Nothobranchius furzeri: one gene and its partners. The protein of the gene in region 1 purifies or fractionates together with the protein of each later gene. This does not show direct contact. Links are inferred from orthologs where the notes say so. Each region holds a gene or a part of one and is shown in the gene's direction. Other genes may lie near its edges.

Region 1 (4,965 bases):
GGGTTGTCTATCAGAGTGACTGCAGAAGTCAGGACTGTCCATCCTGACACAGTAAGAAGATACATTCATCCTCACATCCTGGTTGCTATGGAAACGTTAGAAAAGTGGGCTGAGTTGTGTTAAAATGATCAGAAAGGGGAAAGCAGAGCGAAGTCAGAACGAGACAAATAAAAGGATGTTTGACAGTAACGGATGTTTTTACAGAAGTAAAGACAGTTTTTACCTGAATTTAAAATAAATTGCTCTTGCATAAAAAAGAAATGGGTATTTTATAATAGGTCAAAAACCATTTTTATAACACTGGTGAGAAACTGCAGACTGTTGTGTGGGAGAGACGATAGAAAAACCTTTAAATCCATAATTCCGAGGGTTGGCAGAAAAAGTCTTTGTTTCAGGGAGCTTGGCTTCAGTGACTCACTTTCACACGTGAATGACCCGTTTCTATATTAGGGACTGACATGATTAGCAGTAATGATTTTTAAATAGAGGTTTAATGTGGAGTTTGCTCAGGGAACAAGGCCTTAGGGATCAAACCTGTTTTTAAACATCACCTTCCTTCTCTCACAAGCATCTGAATGGTTCTGTCCTTAGACAATTAAATATTCGAAACTTATAATTTAGCCTTAAAGTCATTCACCTAAATAAACTCGACCAGGTTCAGTCCAAATATGGAGACTCTGTGCTAGGGTTGGGGTTAGGGTCAGAACAGTTAAATTTCTGTTGGTTTTTGGTCCCTGATCCAGTCTGCAGCTTGATTGGAACCAACTTCAACCTTCCAAGATCTTATCTTCACAGGGAAGAGTTGATTGGAGAGCACTTCATCACTGCCTGATAGTCGTGTCTCTCCTGGGTAGGTCTGGATGAGGGTCTGGTGGCTTGGGTCCTGGGGATGATCGTACCTGGATGGGGGACCGGGCTGGGCGAGTGCATGTGGCAGTGTCTGGCCCTGGCCCGGGGCCCTTGGGACATGGTATCTCCTTAACTAGCAGGAACACTTCTACTCCATCGTGGGGGAGGGGATCTCTGAGAGGGGAAGGATCCAACTGTGCCTGGGTTTCTGATGTTTTATGTAGTCTGGAAGTTGATCAAAGGCGGGGGTGGAGCTGAGTTGGGACCTGGGGCTCCGTGGGGCTCTGTGATGCAGCTTTTGTGGGCCCTGGCTAGATGGGCTGGGGTCTCCTGGCCCCAGGTGGGCTTTGAGAATGGGGTGCCTTGTGGGGCCAGCGGAGGACAGGGCAGGGCTCAGGCTCCCCAGTCTTTCCTCCCCATCCTCAGACATTTCCCTCTGCCTGCTCCATCACATCACATCACCCCCCCCCCCACACACACACACACACACACAGGGCCTTGGGGTGTAAGTTCAGTGGGTGCAGGTATGTACTAAATTCATGACGAACACTGACTTCATTATGTTTCCCAGTTTTAAGAAGAAGGTATTTGTTTAAAGAATATGCTTACATTCATAAAAACTGTCAAAACGGAGTCCCTTTCTGTTCCACTCCACTTGTAATGACATTCACCCATGTCGTGATTTTTTGATTCACACATTTGACACAATTTCCAATTCCTGCGCGCACTGTCAGATCCACCCGATCATCTATTTTTACTGTAAATACTCATTGAGAAACTGTTATATAACATGTAAAAATGAAAACATCAAAAATGAAATTCTCATGTTAGGCATTTATTTCTTAGCATCGCTTCTATTCTTTTTATGAGCATTTTTACTCTTTTTATTCTGTTTTTGATCCAAGTTTTGGTCAAAAATAAAGAGCTGCACCACCAGCTCATTCCAGAAGGTGGCGGTAGGGTTCGGGAAGAAGAACCGGGAAAAGAAGAAGGAGGAGGAGTCACGTGACTGGCTGGCTTGTTTGTGGTCGCGCTTTCTGTCTCAGTTGGCGGTTTTCTGTCGCTACCGTCAACATTCACGGATTTAGGTGAGCCAACAGAGTCGCGTTTGGTTCATTTACCCCTAAAAGATGTCTCACAAGAACAAGATGAAGCGGAGCGAAGCTCGTGTGGGAGAAGAGGAGTGCAGGTAAGTGCGTTTAGCTTTCCCTGCTGCCGTCGATATGTGTTCCCCCCTCGATCAGTTTCTTTTGCACCCAGCTGCAAGTGGAAACGACGCAATAACAAGAAATAACACTAACCATAACCACTCTGGCACCAAAAATGTATGGTTTGCGTAAATATAATTTTTGAAAATATTACGTGTAGCACAATTTTTATGTTGGTTTCAGGGTTAGGGTAGCTTAGGACACATTTTTTGCGAGTGGATGGTTCTCACTCGCCGCTGGGTGCAAAAGAAACATCTCGAGGAGGAACACATCGACGCAACACCTGGTTTCACTGGTCAGACGACTAACGTTTTGCTGACAGAGGCTGTTTGGTTGTCAGTGTTACCTTTGAGCTGTCTCCTCTCGCTTTCTGTGGGTTCTCACTCTCTTTTGTTCCATGTTGAAAGCCGTTTCCCCCCTCAGCTAATCGGGGTGGATTTGAATTATTTCTCCTTCTGGAGTGGTCACATTAAGTCTCTGAAGAATAAAAATCTCGGGACGTGTACTTAATAAAGTCCAGAGTCCGCTGCATGGGGACATATTTGAACGGGGGTTACATCTGTACGTGTCACCGTTTCTGGCTCGGTTCTGATCAGCCCGGTTAGACCAGGAGAGACGGTCATCTACCCTTATGTTCTTCCCGGGCTCGTCCCACCGGGAACCGAGTGGAAGATGTTTAAACCTTGTCGGGTCGGACTTTAGTGGCTCACCCAAAATTCCGCGCCACCGCGCGCCAACACACAATGGATCGACCGGAAGTAGGAAGTAAATGGCGGGAGATTATTTTAAACTGTGCTGCAGTCCCGCTCCGATCAGCTTTATGTTTATTCCTCATTAGATCAATTCTCTGATCGTTTCTGGCTGGGCAAGGGTCGTACCAACCCGAACCAGGACCGGTTGGTCCAGGGATTAGAGCTACCAGCCTTTGGGTCAGAACCATCGACATGTAGGGTCAGAACACACCAGCTGCTTGTAAGTACTCATCACAGTGGGCACCATTTGTCTTTGTTAGACCCCATCCAGAGACAGTGTCTTGTTTGAGACAGCTGTCCACTTTAGGGACAGGGTGCTCACCCTGTAACCGCAGAGTTGCAGGTTTGCGCCCTGCTCAATCTGCCGCTGTGCCCTTGGGCAGGACACTTGCAGCTCCACCTCTGGCAGTTAGCCCTGGTCTCTTGACATTTGCAGTAGCTTACAGAATGAGCCGTTTCAGGCCTCTCTTGGGCCACTCTTTTACAGGTAAGAGCAAAATATCATTTAGTCTGGAGCTCTGTGGCTGCACAGACGTTACGACTATAAGAAATCGCATTTCGGTCCCCAGGTCTATAAGCATTTTGATTTTTATGAATGGAAACGCTCAACGCTGTGAGCTCTGGATACAAGGGCTCTGCAGCAGGCCCACAGGAAGTGGAGCAGAAACCTGCGACTGATCAACAGCACCTCTCTTTAAAGAACATCTTACATCAGATGTCCCCTTAAACGCTACTGACTAGTAATATTCTAGCCTTCTTTTATATTTGTACCAGGAGCAGCGGCCCATCCCGGTGGTCCCACAGTAGGAAAAGAGGAGTTGATGGAAGTTTGCGGAATAACAGTGATGAAGATGGTGATGACTGGTGCAGACATGCCAGGTATGATCATGGCGCAGGTCCTCCTGACACAGCTCTTGTGAAATCTCTGATTGGTGCCACTGGTTTAATGGTGTGTGTGTGTGTCTTCTGTAGTTTCACCACCCCAGAGAGCTCTGGACCAGTGTCGAGATGTAGTCGGCCGACTGACTGGGGCAGCCAGGTGGAGGATGAGGAGATGAGGAGAGACATGCACAAAGACATGCAGCGGTAAGACGAGCTTTCTGCTGAACACCAGCTGGTTTCTGTTAACTCCGAGCTGACGTTCTCGACTCTTCAGTTACAGGAGGAGGATACTGGGTCCAGAGGTCACTCAGAGGGAGAGGAGAGCCTCGTCTGGCTCCTCTGGGAGGTAACCACCATGCTTCTGTTTAACAGCAGTCCAGGTGGTCTCTAGTCAGGGTATCCGCAGGTCCTTAAAAAGTCTTAAATTTGCTTTTCCAAATTTACGGCCTTGAAAATCCTTAAAAATGACAAATAATCCTTAAATCCAGTTTCCAAAGGTCTTAAATCACCAAAGACCCAATAAACAAGATTATTTTATTTCTATAAAAATTTTCATGAATTTATAGTTAGTGTTCAGCATTTTTTGTGTACGATGTTGGCATAAGCGGAACCGTACACATTCAGTTGGTTGGGAAAGGGGGCAATTTTTAGATGAGCACATTAGCTGGTTAAGCTAGTGGGAGCTTGCGCCATGGGGAAGTGCAAGTTTAATGGTAAATGGATGGCTAATCCCACGTTCACGACGTGGTTAGCACCGGTTCCAGGCAATAGCTGGAAATTATAGCTTAAATTTAATTTTAAAAATAGCTTAAATTTGGTCAAAGTGGCCTGAAAAAAGGTCTTAAAAAGTCTTAAATTGGCTCCCTTAAACCTGCACATACCCTGCTAGTAGCCATAAGCTCATGAAGTCTCACCTGTTCGTAGAAGGTTCTTCCAGCCAACGAGAGGAGGCGAGTAAAGGTGTGTGTTCTGTTTGTTGTGCAGCTGTGACTCCAGAGAGGGTGAGAACATGGAGACTGATGAATCCGTTCTGCTGCGACGACAGAAACAGATCAGCTACGGCAAGAACACGCTGGCCTACGACAGATACATCAAGGAGGTCCCAAAGTAGGTCACACCCAGAACCGATAGCAAAACCGGAACCCAGGTGTAGAGTAGGGATGTTCTGATCACAATTTTGAGTCACGAGTCATTTGATTGAGAGTATCTGCCGATGCTGAGTCCTGATCCAATATTTCTGCAAAACATTAAAATAAGAAAAAAATCACACATCC
Region 2 (5,004 bases), on another chromosome or scaffold:
ATAATATCCATTCTGTATTTGGAAATGTTGCTTGGTCATAAAAGAAGGTAGAAGAGAATCGCATACGTTCTGCAGTTCCACTTTTGTCCACAAGAGGTCCTACGTTCACAGAAGGGGTGTCAGGTCAGACCATCGACATCAGACTGAAGGGAAATATTTTTGGTCTAATGTGACACTTTATTTTAAAATGCCACATCAGATCTTCATGATCTTTGGGGAGGATGTAGTACTTGATGTGTACGTTAAGACTGAGGTGGAATGATGTTGTGGAATCAGACATTTAAAAAAAATTCACCATTGAATATAATCAAAATTGTTTTTATAGCCAAATTTGATTGCACTTTATTTTGAAATGCCACATCAGATCTTTTTTAACTTTGGGGAGGATGTAGTACTCGAAGTGTACTTTATGACTGAGGTGGAATGATGTTGCAGAAACAGACAGTTTTTGACAAACTAACCATTGAATTGTTGAAATTGTTTATTTGTTTTGGCAAAATTTAACTGCACTTTATTTTGAAATGCCACATCATATCTTTTTGAAATTCGGAGAAGATTTAGTACTTGTTGTATACTTTAAGAGTGTGGTCGAATGATGTTGCGGAATCAGACAGTTTTTGAGAAATTTACCATTGAATTTAGTCTAAATTGCTTTTATGGTCAAATCTGATTGCACTTTATTTTAAAATGCCACATAAGATCTTCATGAACCTTAGGGAGGATGTAGTACCTGATGTGTACTTTAAGACTGAGGTGAAATAATATTGCAGAATCGAACATTTTTTTAAAGAAATTAACCAATGAATATAGTCAAAATAGTTTTTATATCTATCTAGTACTTGATGTGTTCTGTAATACTGAAGTGGAATGATGTTGTGGAATCAGACAGACTTTGAGAAAGAAACCATTGAATATAGTGAAACTATTTAGAAATGCCACATCAGATCAGGATGAATGGGACGGGATGTATAAGAATAGCAAAGTAACCTACACAAATGTGTTCTTTTAATTTAAAGTATTTTTAAATAACTAAAATCATAAAAAATGCAGTTTATGTTGCACACAATTTTACACAAAAAAGGGTTAAATCGTGTTCATTCTTTTAATTAAAGGTCTTTTTAATAGATCATATCATTTAAAACGCTGTGTTATATTGCACTCATTTTTACAAAAAAAAAAAACGATTAACTCCTGTTTATTCTTTTAATTTAAAGTTTTTAAAATAAATAAAATCATTTCAAACGCAGTTTTATCTTGCACACAATTTTACAAAAGAAAAGTTTTTAATCGTTTTCAGTCTTAAAAGTGTTTTTTTAATAGATAAAATAATTTTAAACGCAGTTTTAGCTTGCACACAAATAAAAAAATGTTTTCATTGTTTTCTGTCTTGTGTTTTTTAATAGATAAAATCATTTAAAACGCAGTTTTATCTTAAGACACAATTTTACACAAACTTAGAAAGTGTCCATCAGCACGTTCAGACCAGACACATGTCCTATAAGTGCGCTTTTATTTTGAAAGTCACTCTCGACCGAAGACACCGTAGATCTCTTGTAGTCATGTAAAAATCGAAGGAGGTCTGGCTTGACGACATTTCCCAGAGTGCCGTGCGTCTTGCTGCACGTGTCACCGCTGCCAGCAGACCGGGACTGAACGTCACATTCCTGCATTCCCCTTTCACTGCGTGAGAGATGTTGGAGTTACCAGCACACAGCTAATCCTCTTTCCCCGCTTGTTTTTGACAAACGCACCCATGACACGGCGGATTTGATCTCAGGGGGTGACCCCAGCTTCTCTGGAAGTCAGAATCTCGCTTTGGGTAAGGATTTATCCCATTTTACGTCGGTTAAAGAGGTATTTCTTCTGGTGTTTTCCAACCGCTGCAACTGTTTTATAAGGGCTGCATTCACCGCACGCTGCTTTTGTGGATGAGTTTGTTGCCCTTTTGTCTGTTGTGGTGCACCTGTTGGTGTTTCATTGTTGACTCAGTGGGGTTTGAGTCCAAAATGTATGGCCTGTGGTTAATTGTTGTTGTACTTAATGGCTAGCGTAAGCTAGCCGGATGGTTAGCCGCAGAGCTTGCGTCACCGTTGTGTTACCGGTGATACTCGAGCAGACACATCAGTGCGTGGAGGTGTCTCCAGATGTGGTTTTAGTATAATTAAAGGGACAACTATTGTGTTGTGGTTTTGATCACGGGCGTCCTGTCAGGAAGCAGCAGCGCTCGGCTACAACCCATAGCAAATGGGTGTGGTTAAACGTTCTAAACAAACCTGTGGTTAACGTAAAGATCACTCACACGTCAGAGAGATGTGCTATTTCAGTTTCACTCACGTTTGGTTGTACCAACTTAACAGGAATTATGTCTTCTTCGTTAGCTGTCCTGTAAAGGAGCGGAGCTAGCTACGGATCGGCAGACTGCCTCCGCTCAGCTGTTGACTCTCACAACAAAGAGATCGCAGCTGCTACTGTAGGACATGGAGGCATCCATGACAGATATTCAAAATAAGAGGTGGAGCAGATCATCTGGTTGGATATGTATTGGTCAGTTAGTTCTTTAGATTCCACTCAAGCTCAGTTTATCCACAACATTCCTGGAATTTCTGCTGTTCAGAGACTCATTACATCAGACTTGGTTCTTTTTTTAACACAGAGAAGGGTTGTTTTACCTTCTTTTTTGTTAAATGCGGTTAGAAGAAACACAGAATGAACGCACAAAAGATACATCAGACGGACTTTATTAATTTAAAGGAATGTTTGCATGCTGTCTCATTAGAATGAGATTTGTTCCACAAACAGTACTTAACTTGTTTAAACAGAACAAATAAAATTCTTCTGAAAGCAAAAACTGTTATGCTTTTAAAAATCTGTCTGGTGTGTAAGTTTTATTCAATATGAAGTGAAAATGGAACTTCAGCTTGAGGCTAAATTTAATCTAAAAGTCTTTCAGTTGGTAAATCAGGTTCAGCCAGAAGAGTAAGTTAGAAAATAAGGTACATACTCATGATTTACAACACAGTAAAAGCAAATGTTCTATCCAAACAACTCTTGTTTTAATTTGTTTCCAGTTTGGTGAGTTTGAACTGAGTCAAGAAAATCACCCCCCACACCATTACGCTACGAGTGGCCTGTAACTGTCAAGGCATGGTGGGTAGGATAGGTTCATTTGACTTTTGAATCAATACGGTACCAATGCCCGATACCTAGGAATCGATACCGGTACCAATGTCTGATACTTTTGAGTGTTTAATAATTAAATAAAACTCTTTTTTATTTTAATATATATTTTCCCTTAATTTATAACTATTTTTGATATATTTTATCATGATAAATATAACATGCAACTTTTTGTATTTTGTCATCATAGTGTTGTACAAAATTTTTCAAAATGAAAACCTTTAACTACAACTGTTTCTAAATGATCTAAACATTATACCCAGCTCCATGTACTCCTACTCCTCTTTTATGCCATCTGGAATAACTATGATGAGGAGACCAGGTATTATAGACTACAAATGAAATTAAAACAAACTTTTATACCATACAACTGTTTGTATTTTAATATTGTGATGTTTCACAAACTAAAACCCAGCTCCGTGTACTCTCATTCCTCTTCTTTCCTCAATGGACAAATTGTGTGATGGGTGGGTCCTTGTAGTACTAACTAAATTTACTGTGTGTCTTCATTTTATCTTTCTTTTTCAAACTGTTCATTTTTCATTAATGGATGCTAAAATATCAAGCTAACGTTAATGTAAACTGTTTATTTACCCATTGGAGCAGATTAAGACAATGATTCCTCACTTAGATCATTGTCAATGTCATCTAGGACCATTACTTTTTCTTTTGTACGTTAACGATATTGCTATGGTTTCTAAATTATTCAGGTTTATACTATTTGCAGATGACACTACATTATTTTATTCAGTAGAAAATTCAAACGTTATGTTAGATGTAGTTGAAAATGAGTTTACAAAAATCAAAAAATGGTTTAATATCAATAGGCTTTCTGTAAACATTGATAAAACTAAGTCAATAGTTTTTTTATAGTAGCAAAAACAGTGCTGATGCATCATTATATGTTGAAGGAATTGAGATAGAAAGAGTAAGAGAAGGAAAGTTTTTAGGTGTTATGATTGACGAACATTTGTCCTGGAAGTCTTACATAAATGCTATTCAAATTAAAATATCTCGAAATTTTGCAGTACTAAATAAGACGAAGGAATTGTTGAACAAAAAAGCTTTGTATATTCTGTGTAACTCGTTAATTCTTCCATATCTGACATATTGTATTGTATTTACACAATAGAGCAGTGAGAGTTATTAGTGGAAGTGGATGTAGGGATCATACGGATCCGATGTTTTCACAGCTAGACCTAATGGAATTTGACAAATTAGTAGAATATCATTTATTGAAACTTATGTACAAAGCACATAAAGAAGTCCTATCAATAAATATTCAAAAGAGATTTGTAAAACGATAAAGTAATTATATTTTTAAAGTAAATTATAGTTTAAAAAAAAAAACAAGATTCCGAACAGTGATAATGGAAATATGTATTTCAGTTTAAAGTGTCGGTTTATGGAATAGTCTCAACAGTGAAATAAAACAATCTAAAACATTTCCTGTATTTAAAAAAAGTGTCAAACGTATCTTGATGAAATAATAAGATCTTAAGTAGGCTGATAGACTTGTGGTGGGGGGTAGGTGAATGACAGTCTTCGAGTTGAACAGCTAATGTCTGATGTGTAAAGGGGGCAGATATTGTAAGTTTTTGCTTCTTTCTGCTCCTTTTCATTTATGATTATTTGTGAACGCGGATTGTTTTAATGTAAATTTTGTTTGATTGCATGAAATGAAATAAAAAATGGAAATGGAAAAAAATATTGTCATCATCACCCAGTCACCCATCGCATTTAGTGAAGTGGACCCAAACTTTAGAGCTACTTGCTCTGTTTCCAGCTCGCCCTACGCTCTTGCGCAAGCGCTGCTGTTTATCTTGG
Region 3 (4,835 bases), on another chromosome or scaffold:
AGCGTAAGGAAACGCTGCCACCAGTGTTGGAGAGAGGCCTCGGTAAAGCGTAACAATTCCCTCGGAGCGCCAAATCGTGGAAACAGCATGACGGAGGTTCCTGTAAACCTAAATAAAACAAATTTTAAATTCCTCTACAAATAAATCATTTAATTTAAATTATGTGTGGATGTTTATTTTTCTTTTGGTTGTGTTATCACATAAAACTTTGGAATTAAGTTGGTGGATGGTTTAAATGAAGACAGTAAAATATGGCTGTCCCACCTTGGGTTCTCCCTGAGCAGCGAAGCGTGTCCTCAGCGTGTCCAGAGGCTGGCAGGCCACCGCGGCCGAGCAGGCTGCCAAACCGCCACAGACAAAGTGAACTCCTGGTGTCTGGCTGTCGTAGATTGTCGATTTGTGAACAACTTCAGTCAGAAACTCAAAACTAACAAACTGCAAATCACAAAAAAACAGTTATTTCAGGGATGAGCCATTAGGAGGGCTTATTTGACTGTCTCAACATGCAGATTTTCATTCCACAAGCTGTACCTGGACAGCACCGTAGCAGATGGAGAGGAGCTGGGCTGGAACGTGGCCTTTCCAGAAAGCAGAAAGCCCTTCTTCTGTGTAAACGCTGCGTGAGGCCTGAAGGATTCCACAGTACTTTCCCTCAGGTCTACGTGACGACACACGCTCGATCTGCAGCTGTGGGAGGAAACACACTCGACTTATGCAACTAACTTTGTAGATTTCCATCCACACTGTTATTAAATGATTCCTTATGCATCGTTTTGTTGGACTTACATACCTTAACCATTCTTATTATAAGTCTAATTTTCAAAGTGAGCATAATCTGTTAATAGTTGGATCCAGCTCATCCAACACAAAAAATTCACACAGATTAATACCTGGAATCTTATTTTGATGACATCAAAAGGACTGATAATGGCTCTGGTGGCCAGCCCAGCAGCTGAACCAGCGATAGCTGCCTCCCAATGGGTAGGAGCTGCATTCTGCGCCCTGGGATCATAACCCACCATCTCACCACAACACTCCTATCAACACTGAAGACACAAACAAAAGTTCCATTTTTGACTAATTTTATTTTTTAAATATCCTGTGGTTTTTAAAATGTCACAGTTATCTGCAAACAATATCTCTCAATGTATTCATTTAACACAACGCTTTAATCAAAGTTTGCACCATGTCTGCGGACAAGTAGGGAGAAGAATTGTGCTAAGCTAAGCTAACAACACAACATCTGTTCCTTCGTTGTTGTAGCGACAACAACACGCTGACAGATGTTTACCTTTTACTAAAGAGCTGTCTTCATGAATATAACTTCCATTTCTATTTCTGTCTTCAACAAATTTCTCTACGATAAATCCATCAGCTTCAGATCTCAGCGTAACCCTGAACGCAACGTACTAACCACTTCCGCCGGTTCACTCAGCGCATGCTCCGTCTGTCAAAGATTAAATATTGGGAAAGATGAGTCACTGCCTTACAACAAACCGGAATCGAATTGTCCAGTATGTACAGTCTATGCAACAAACCTACAACCGGTCTACCACCGCCCTGTCACCATTACCTATCTCTAACCCTCATTCGTACACACTATTCTTTTTACAGAATTTACAGGTGATATTTTAAACCACTCAAATATTGGTGATACCGTGAAAATCTGTTAGGATAGTTTCATTAGTCCCGGTTGTGTTTTATGTGGTAACAGGAAATGCAGGTTAACTTATCTTTGTGTTTACATTTATTCTTTGAATGGTTCAGACGGAAGTAGCTTGACTAGTGGTATGATTTTGAATAGGTAAAGTTTCTCACATATTCTTGCATTCCATGCTTATTAACTGATGTGTGTTTTCTACCTGTTTGATTTTATTTATTTATTTTTTTTACATTTAATCGCTTTTATTGTTTTGGCGGGAGGTATTCCCTAACGGAAGCAGCTCGCGAACCACACGAGCTAGCACAGTGTTAATAAGTTAAATGTTGTTTTGATTTGGCATCCGCCTGTTTTTCGTTATAAACCCAGTAATAAACAGCGCCCATGCATAGCATTGCATTGTTTCGGTCCGAATGCGTGACTTGTATGTGGCTAGCAAGTTTAATTTTATCATGGCATAATGAAAGCACACTTTTGAGTGATAGGTGGTGTTTGTTGACCTGAGCTAGCCCAAATCCCCTCAATCCCGCAGTCAAAGAGCTGTAGGGAGCAGCCAGTCTGATGACTCCGCGGTTTCAGTTCTGTTTAAAAGACTCGTCGTGTCTGATAAAAGACTTGCTACATGTTGTTCTTCTGAAAAGCACAGTGAACATGGATGATCTTTCCTTCACAGCGTGACATCTCCCAGGTGTAACTTGTTCTTCACCATCTGACATGGAAAACTCCACCGATGACTACAAAATCCAGTCTTTTGACTTGGAAACGCAGACATTACTGAAAACTGCCTTGAAAGGTCAGAATTTTCTTTAAACTTTTGTGTAAATTATTCAAACTGTATAATTCGTTTTCAGTTCCTTCATTTAAATGTTGTTAAAAATGAACGTATATATTACAAAAGCCATTTTCTTGCCCTCAGATCCAAGTTCGGTGAACCTGGAGAAGGTCTCAAATGTCATCGTAGAGCAGTCTCTAAAGGATTGTGTGTTCAGCAAAGAGGCCGGACGTATTTGTTACACTATTGTGCAGGTCAGTCAGTGGTTGTGGTGCTTTTGTTCTGAGTCCTCTGCCTGCTCACCACCCTCCTGTTTAGTCCTGATTCTCCCTGTTTGCCCAGGCTGAGGCCAAACAAAGCAGCGGAAATGTGTTTAGGAGGCTCCTGTTGAACCGACTACAGCAAGAGTTTAAAGTACGTGAAGAAACAAGAACACGCTCTCTGCAGGAGTGGGTGTGCTACGTCACCTTCATCTGTAACATCTTTGACTACCTCAAGGTAAGAGACAGAGACAAATTGAAGTTTTGTCCATGATATGAAGATATTTTAAATATATGAATTGTTAAATTACTCTGGATCATTTCTGCAAAAGTACTTTTCTTCGTAAGTAAAGCCTTTAATATATTGTTTATTGCTGTAGTAACCAAGAAGAAGGTTGTATTAATTTGAGACCTGGATTTCTTGCTGTAAGTTAGAACTTTGAACGAAACTCCCAGCCAGCAGAAGGCCTAATAAGACACTGTATTGTTTCAGTTTCACTTCCAGATTCATAACTGGCTATAACACATTACTGCGCACATAGGTCAATCAAACCAGAGCATTTAGTACAGATTTTGACCTGTGTCAGACTTAAACCACATGATGGCAATATTTGTCTGACATCAAGGTGGATCTCAATGACAGACATTAAAGTGACAATGTGTAATTTTTACCATTAATCTCTGGAAATACCCATTGAAATGTTGTAAATTAATTAAAAGATACCAAGTTGTTGAAAAATATTGACAGTTTCATAGCATTTAACCATAAAAATCAGGTCTAAAATACACGGGAGTGGGTCTAAATCTCTAGGCGACGCCATATTGGATGCCATGTTTCCTTCTACGGAAGCCCGTGAGGACAGAGTGTATTTACTGATTTGTAACAAATGGTTACTAAACTTTCAGCATTAATAAACTTTGTTGTTTTACACATTTACCTCTTCACTTGTTGCCAGGGATGAAAGGGAATCTGATGTTCTTGTTCAGGGTATCCGCGGGTCTTGGAAAGTCTTGAAAAGTCTTGAATTTAATTTAGGCAAATTAAGACCCTTAAAAAGTCTTAAATTCATTAAGTGAAGTCTTAAATTCGGTGAGTATTGATGTGTATTTAAAATAAGTCTGTATATTAAAAATAAACGTGACAAGGTAATAAAATAAACCAATTTTTAGGTCTCTGCCAGCCGTTTTCGTGCATTTCCGTTCCACGTGACTTTGGCCACCGTGTATGTGACGTATTTCGCCAATTCAAGGAGAAGATGGTGGAAGCAAAATGGGGAAGCAGCCCCGGCGTCAGGGGGTCAATTTGAGGGGCATTGCCCCCCCCCCCCCCCACCCGTACCTCCATGCCCCCCCATTGGCTATCAGAGCGGTAATGTTATTATAATTTAATTATTTTTTTCAGTTAATTTTTTTTGGGGAGGAGTCACAGATTGTATGAATTCATATTCAGCTAAGGGAAACCAATAAAATTCAAAATACAAAATAAATATTTTAAGAGACGTCTCGGCTTGTGTCATGTGATGCATGCGTGCGTGGTGCCGCAAGTAACGCACCGACGTCTGTTTACGCTAGGAAACGGATATCACGGTAAACGAATATCACGGTAAACGAATTTAACGACACAAACGATGGATATAAGGAAATTCTTCCAATCACCACCAACTACAAGGTAAAACTGAAACTGCACGAGCGACAGCTTAGCAGGAGTGTCATATTGCCGCAGCAGAGAAGAAGTTAGGTGAGCAGCCGAAGCTAACTAGCCGTAGCAAGACTGAGGCACAGCTTCCCCCAGTGGAGCCGGAGCATGAAGATTTTAGCGCTAATCCCAGCTGCAGTGGGCTCTCCCAAACCCGCTCTCCCAAACTTTTCTACTTTAAAAAGTGTTCTCACAGACAACAGACTTAGCATGCTACACCAACGAAATGCACATTTAGTGCAGCTGGCCTATGAAAGAAACTTAACTAAAAGATTTGTCACTGAATGGAAGGAAGCAGTAATGAGGAGTTTCAATTCCGGGAGGCGCCGACTGCAGCTCTTCTAAGTGGTGAGTAAAGAAGATATTTATTTAAAGGGGGTGTAATATTGTGATTGCTGTTGGTTGTACAAAAGTTTTTTTATGCGCATATGAGCTGAAATATGAGCT
Region 4 (4,678 bases), on another chromosome or scaffold:
GAGTTTTATTGCTGGTCAGGTCCCTGCTTATTTTAAGAATGCTGTAATCCACCCGCTTCTTAAAAAACAAGTCTTGACCCTTTTAGTACTTTGCTGTTTTTCATTTTTACTTGTTTGTTTAATTGGTTATTTGCATTTTTAACTTAACGAGGAGTGTTTTAACAAGTATTATGCAATAGCTGTTAAAGTGACCTTGAGAGTCCTGAAAGGCGCTAACGAATAAAATGTATTATTTTTCTCTCCATAGCAGCTTCAGACCCATCTCTAAACTTCTGTTCATCTCCAAGATCTTGGAAAAGGTTGTGGCTAAACAACTAACAGCTGATCTTGAACATAACATCTATGATAGTTTCCAGTCAGGTTTTCGTAGAACTCATTCCACTGAAAAAGCTCTTCTTAGGGTCTCCAATGACCTTCTGATTCACAGTGATGCTGGGGACTGTTCTGCTCTGGTCCTGCTGGACCTGACTGCAGCCTTTGACACTGTTGACCATCACCTGCTTGCTACTGGAGAGGCTGAGAGACTGCATAGGCCTGTCAGGAACTGAGTGTAGTGGTTCTACTCTCATCTGTCTGAGCGTTCTTTCTCTGTGGTCATCTGCAAGTTTTGGTCCAACACCTCCCTCATCGATGGCATCCCACAAGGTTCTGTGCTGGGGCCTCTACTGTTCATTCTCTTTCTGCTTCCTCTTCAGCACATCCTGAGCTCCTTTAATGAAATCTCCTACCATCTTTACACAGATGACATCCAACTGTACATCTCCTTTAAGCCCCATGAGATGTCTAAGCTGTTACACACCTGCTTACACTATCAAAACCTGGATGGCTGGAAACTTTCTAAAGCTGAATGTAGATAAGACTGAGATCCTCATCTGTGCTCCAGACAAGCTGGTTCCCAAAGTCAGAGACTCTCTTGGTCAGCTTGCTTCTCACACCAAACCCTCTGTCAGGAATCATGGTGTGACCTTTGACCCAGCTCTCACCCTGGATTCTCATGTCAGTTCTCTCTTTTCTACTTCTGATGATGGTGATGACTTCCTAAAAAGGCTCATTGTAAAGTTACAAATTAGTGGTAAAACTTAAGTCTCTAGTTGAACAGAACTGATGAATACTATCAACATCTACCTAAGTGCCCCTGGACTGAACTGAATCAAATTTATCTCAGTTTGAGATTAGGGCATATTTTAAGGTTTTGTAGTAGTTGTGTATAGTTTCAAAGCTCTCTGAAAACCTAAAACTAACACTAAAATCATTTTGTGTCCCAAATATTGAAGAATTAATTGAGAAATGTATATTGATTTGAAATCAGTAAAAAGAAAAACAGAGTGAGCCCTCTTTCCTTTTGACCCATCTGTGCCGTCCAGCCCCTCCCAGTGGCGTCACGCGTCGCGCGGCGCAGGGAAGTCCGTCACCGCTGCTGGCTGTTGGACCTGCAGTAGCTTTTGATCGGTTCCATTTTTTTGTTTGAGTTGACATTTGTTGTCTCTGCGACGCGCTCAAGAATATACATCGACAAAATAAATTCTGTGGATCTTGGTCGTCTTTGTACAGCATCGGAAATCGTTGAGTAAAACGAAAGAAAAGAGTCGAAGATGAGTGTGGAGGCGTACGGGCCGAGCTCCCAGACCCTCACCTTCCTGGACACCGAGGAAGCCGAGCTCATCGGAGCCGACACACAGGGCTCCGAGTATGACTTCACCGACTTCACGCTTCCTAGCCAGACCCAAACTCAAGGCCAAACGCAGAGCCAGCTGGACAGCCAGGTTAGACGCTTTTCAATCTTTCCAGTATGCACGGTAATGGTGTTAGCAGCAGTTAGCTTCCAGTTAGCCCGCTTTTATTAAATTTAGCCCGACTTAGCTTCGTGTTAGCTGGTTTTAGGACATCGTTAAATAAACAGTTAAAGCCACTAGTAATCTCAACACATTTCTTTCGAACCCTACATTCAAACCAGACTCTGCGATTCACAAAAACGGGATTTGTAAACAGTAGCATTCTGTCAACATGTCGCTAACTGGCTTTTCCGCACTGTGTGCCTTAGCCGTTAGCTGCTGTTCGTTAGCATCGAGTGTGTTTTGGTTAAGACTGTTTTTGCGCTGCAGGTGAATGGTCCAGATGAAGGTCTTCATAACGGAGGGGTTGATGACTCTGTGGCCAAAACCAGCCAGTTGTTGGGAGAGCTGAACTTTGAAGAGGATGAAGAAGACACTTATTACACCAAAGACCTTCCTGTACACGCATGCAGGTACTGTGACAGAATGCATCACAGAAAGCCACACGTGCATCTCAAGTGCAGCATTTTCCTAAGTGTGTTTTTATTTCTTCTGTAGTAACCTTTAACTTTGTTTACGGTGCTGTTAAAATAATTTTTGTCTGTTTTTTTACAGGATTAAGCGTTTGGTTAAACACTGAAAAACAACAAAACAATTTCAAATACTATTATAAATCTATGATCAGTGCATGTAAAGAGTTAAAAAATAAACAACAACAAAATTCACAGCCATTTTATTAGGTGTCAGATCATATTTAAAGTTATTTTCAGACTCCTGTTTTGCTTGTAATCGATCAGCAATACATTTCCTTTAAGTTAATTTGTGTTATAAAACACTAACATAAAAACGGAAAATCAAATCACTTTTATTGTCACGTCACATGTGCAGGTACACTTGTACAGTTCATGAGAGTGAAATTCTCGTGTGCGAGCTTCACAGCAACAGAGTTGTACAAAAATACCATAACGTAAAAACAAGCAAAATATAAAAATGGCTAATCTAAGTAATAATATGTATAGTATGTAAGGTATATACATTACTAAATGTGTGTGCTAGTATCTTTTTTTCTACGTGTGTGAGTGTGTGTATAATGTGTATATACATGTTTTACAAATGAACAAAGTAAACAATAAGATAAGAGATATAAAATATACAGTGGTTGGTATGTGCAAAACTGTGGCATTAATGTACAGTATGGAGTGTGTAAAATGGAAACATGCTTGTGTTAAAAAAAGATGCTTAACTGTTGCTGACTTTTTTTAAATTATACAGACATTTTTATAAATATATCTAAAACCTTTCTGGTTTCAACGTGTGATTACTCATGTTTCTAAGAAAAGAGCAAGGAAAGTTAAGTTTACTAGTGAATCTATTAAATTATTCTATATTTTCTATTTTCCAACTTCTGATGCGTTATATGTTCTAATCACTGAAATATTTGAAATGCCATTTGATTTTGCAGCTATTGTGGTATCCATGACCCAGCCTGTGTTGTGTACTGTAACACCAGCAAGAAGTGGTTCTGTAATGGCCGTGGCAACACATCTGGAAGGTTTATAATTTGGCAGTTATAATTTTTTTAAACTTTTTTGATTATGGTTACCCGTTGTTTCATTGTACATTTATGACTTCCAGCCACATTGTGAACCACATGGTGAGGGCCAAATGCAAAGAGGTTACGCTGCATAAAGATGGACCTCTGGGTGAAACCGTGCTGGAGTGTTACAATTGTGGCTGCCGCAATGTTTTCCTCTTGGGCTTTATCCCAGCCAAAGCTGACTCCGTGGTGGTGCTACTCTGCAGGTAAGTGGATGGAAGGTGTTTGTCAATCCTAGCTGGTTGTTGTATAGCAAAAAAGTCAAAGTTTTTCCTGCTAAAGTTGTACTGTACTAAACATTTGAGAGTATATTTATTAGGAATGGTCTGATTGATTGGTAACTGATCAAATTGTTTCAATCTCCATGAAAAACATGTGATCTGCAAATTCCGATCAATGCCTCTCAGAGCCAATCATACCAAACAATCACCTGTTGCTCATACTTTGTAGCCGACAGAGACCTTGTGTGCGGCATTATGTGTTTCTCCCCCCTTCCTTCACACTGTGCATGCATGCAGTAGCAAAAGTGTACACAAACATTTCTACTGAACTTTTAGTCCATCTGTGAGAAGGATGTAAACCTGCGGGGGTAGTAGCTCGTTAAAATGCATCAATCCAGCAAATTTGAAAGAACAAACTCTGGGCAAAGTGAGCTGAGTTTTCATTACTCCCTGCAGAAATAAAAAGACACTCAGAGCAACAGACATAACTGCATTCACCAAAACTCGTCTGTATGAGAGTGACCGTCAGAAGGTTGAACAACTAACTTGGAAAAATATAAGAAGAAACAGGGCTTTTCCTGGCTCAAATTGAGGCAGAGCTGGTACCATCCTGACCATGTGCCAGCACATGCATACTCTGTGCATTCAACTGCCTCACTTTTTTAAAGGCAAAATATTTTTTCATTAAGTGTTCTTATCTAAGCTTCTATTGATTAATTGAATATTCCATTTGACAATGTTTCAAGTGAAACAAAACTGGTTTGCTGCTAAAAAATATGAAATAAAACAACAAAATTATCAGGCTGAAATAACAGACTTTTATTATGAAAGGCTCAATAATATGCATTAGATTGGTGTTTAGTTCCCTTTTCCCCGTCTGATATTTATAGTTAAAAATATTTTTAAATATTTGATCTACATTTCAGTAACATTTTAGGTTTGTGTTAATAACACTCATCTTATTATAAAAACACAAATATATCCAGTAAAATATTATGCATTTCATTAACATGCATTTGTATTGGAAATGGTAATAACATTTAATTTCTGCTGCTAACAATGTAATGGTGGCATGTCTATTATGTACG

Evidence for each region.
Region 2: the proteins of slbp (region 1) and ctif purify together in Homo sapiens (affinity purification with western blotting; 3 studies listed by BioGRID). This does not show direct contact. The link is inferred for Nothobranchius furzeri from reciprocal best matches to the Homo sapiens genes SLBP and CTIF.
Region 3: the proteins of slbp (region 1) and mif4gdb purify together in Homo sapiens (affinity purification with western blotting; 3 studies listed by BioGRID and IntAct, with this or other methods). This does not show direct contact. The link is inferred for Nothobranchius furzeri from reciprocal best matches to the Homo sapiens genes SLBP and MIF4GD.
Region 4: the proteins of slbp (region 1) and upf1 purify together in Homo sapiens (affinity purification with western blotting; 4 studies listed by BioGRID and IntAct, with this or other methods). This does not show direct contact. The link is inferred for Nothobranchius furzeri from reciprocal best matches to the Homo sapiens genes SLBP and UPF1.

The regions. Positions count from the first base shown.
Region 1 is NC_091741.1:108,903,018-108,907,982, forward strand, and holds the start of slbp (histone RNA hairpin-binding protein), read left to right. Parts: upstream 1-1,842; 5' UTR 1,843-1,979; coding exon 1,980-2,038; intron 2,039-3,583; coding exon 3,584-3,688; intron 3,689-3,781; coding exon 3,782-3,895; intron 3,896-3,965; coding exon 3,966-4,037; intron 4,038-4,675; coding exon 4,676-4,798; intron 4,799-4,965. UniProt on the Homo sapiens protein: RNA-binding protein involved in the histone pre-mRNA processing.
Region 2 is NC_091746.1:58,107,246-58,112,249, forward strand, and holds the start of ctif (CBP80/20-dependent translation initiation factor), read left to right. Parts: upstream 1-1,692; 5' UTR 1,693-1,819; intron 1,820-3,068; 5' UTR 3,069-3,144; coding exon 3,145-3,147; intron 3,148-5,004. UniProt on the Homo sapiens protein: Specifically required for the pioneer round of mRNA translation mediated by the cap-binding complex (CBC), that takes place during or right after mRNA export via the nuclear pore complex (NPC).
Region 3 is NC_091752.1:54,309,944-54,314,778, reverse strand, and holds the start of mif4gdb (MIF4G domain-containing protein B), read left to right. Parts: upstream 1-1,523; 5' UTR 1,524-1,623; intron 1,624-1,713; exon of another isoform or gene 1,714-1,804; intron 1,805-1,812; exon of another isoform or gene 1,813-1,849; intron 1,850-2,333; 5' UTR 2,334-2,374; coding exon 2,375-2,453; intron 2,454-2,576; coding exon 2,577-2,686; intron 2,687-2,774; coding exon 2,775-2,930; intron 2,931-4,835. Other genes in the region: slc25a19 (mitochondrial thiamine pyrophosphate carrier), read right to left, coding at 1-108, 265-435, 532-687, 891-1,022. UniProt on the Homo sapiens protein: Functions in replication-dependent translation of histone mRNAs which differ from other eukaryotic mRNAs in that they do not end with a poly-A tail but a stem-loop. May participate in circularizing those mRNAs specifically enhancing their translation.
Region 4 is NC_091748.1:65,883,076-65,887,753, forward strand, and holds the start of upf1 (regulator of nonsense transcripts 1), read left to right. Parts: upstream 1-1,366; 5' UTR 1,367-1,592; coding exon 1,593-1,763; intron 1,764-2,102; coding exon 2,103-2,245; intron 2,246-3,234; coding exon 3,235-3,324; intron 3,325-3,407; coding exon 3,408-3,575; intron 3,576-4,678. UniProt on the Homo sapiens protein: RNA-dependent helicase required for nonsense-mediated decay (NMD) of aberrant mRNAs containing premature stop codons and modulates the expression level of normal mRNAs.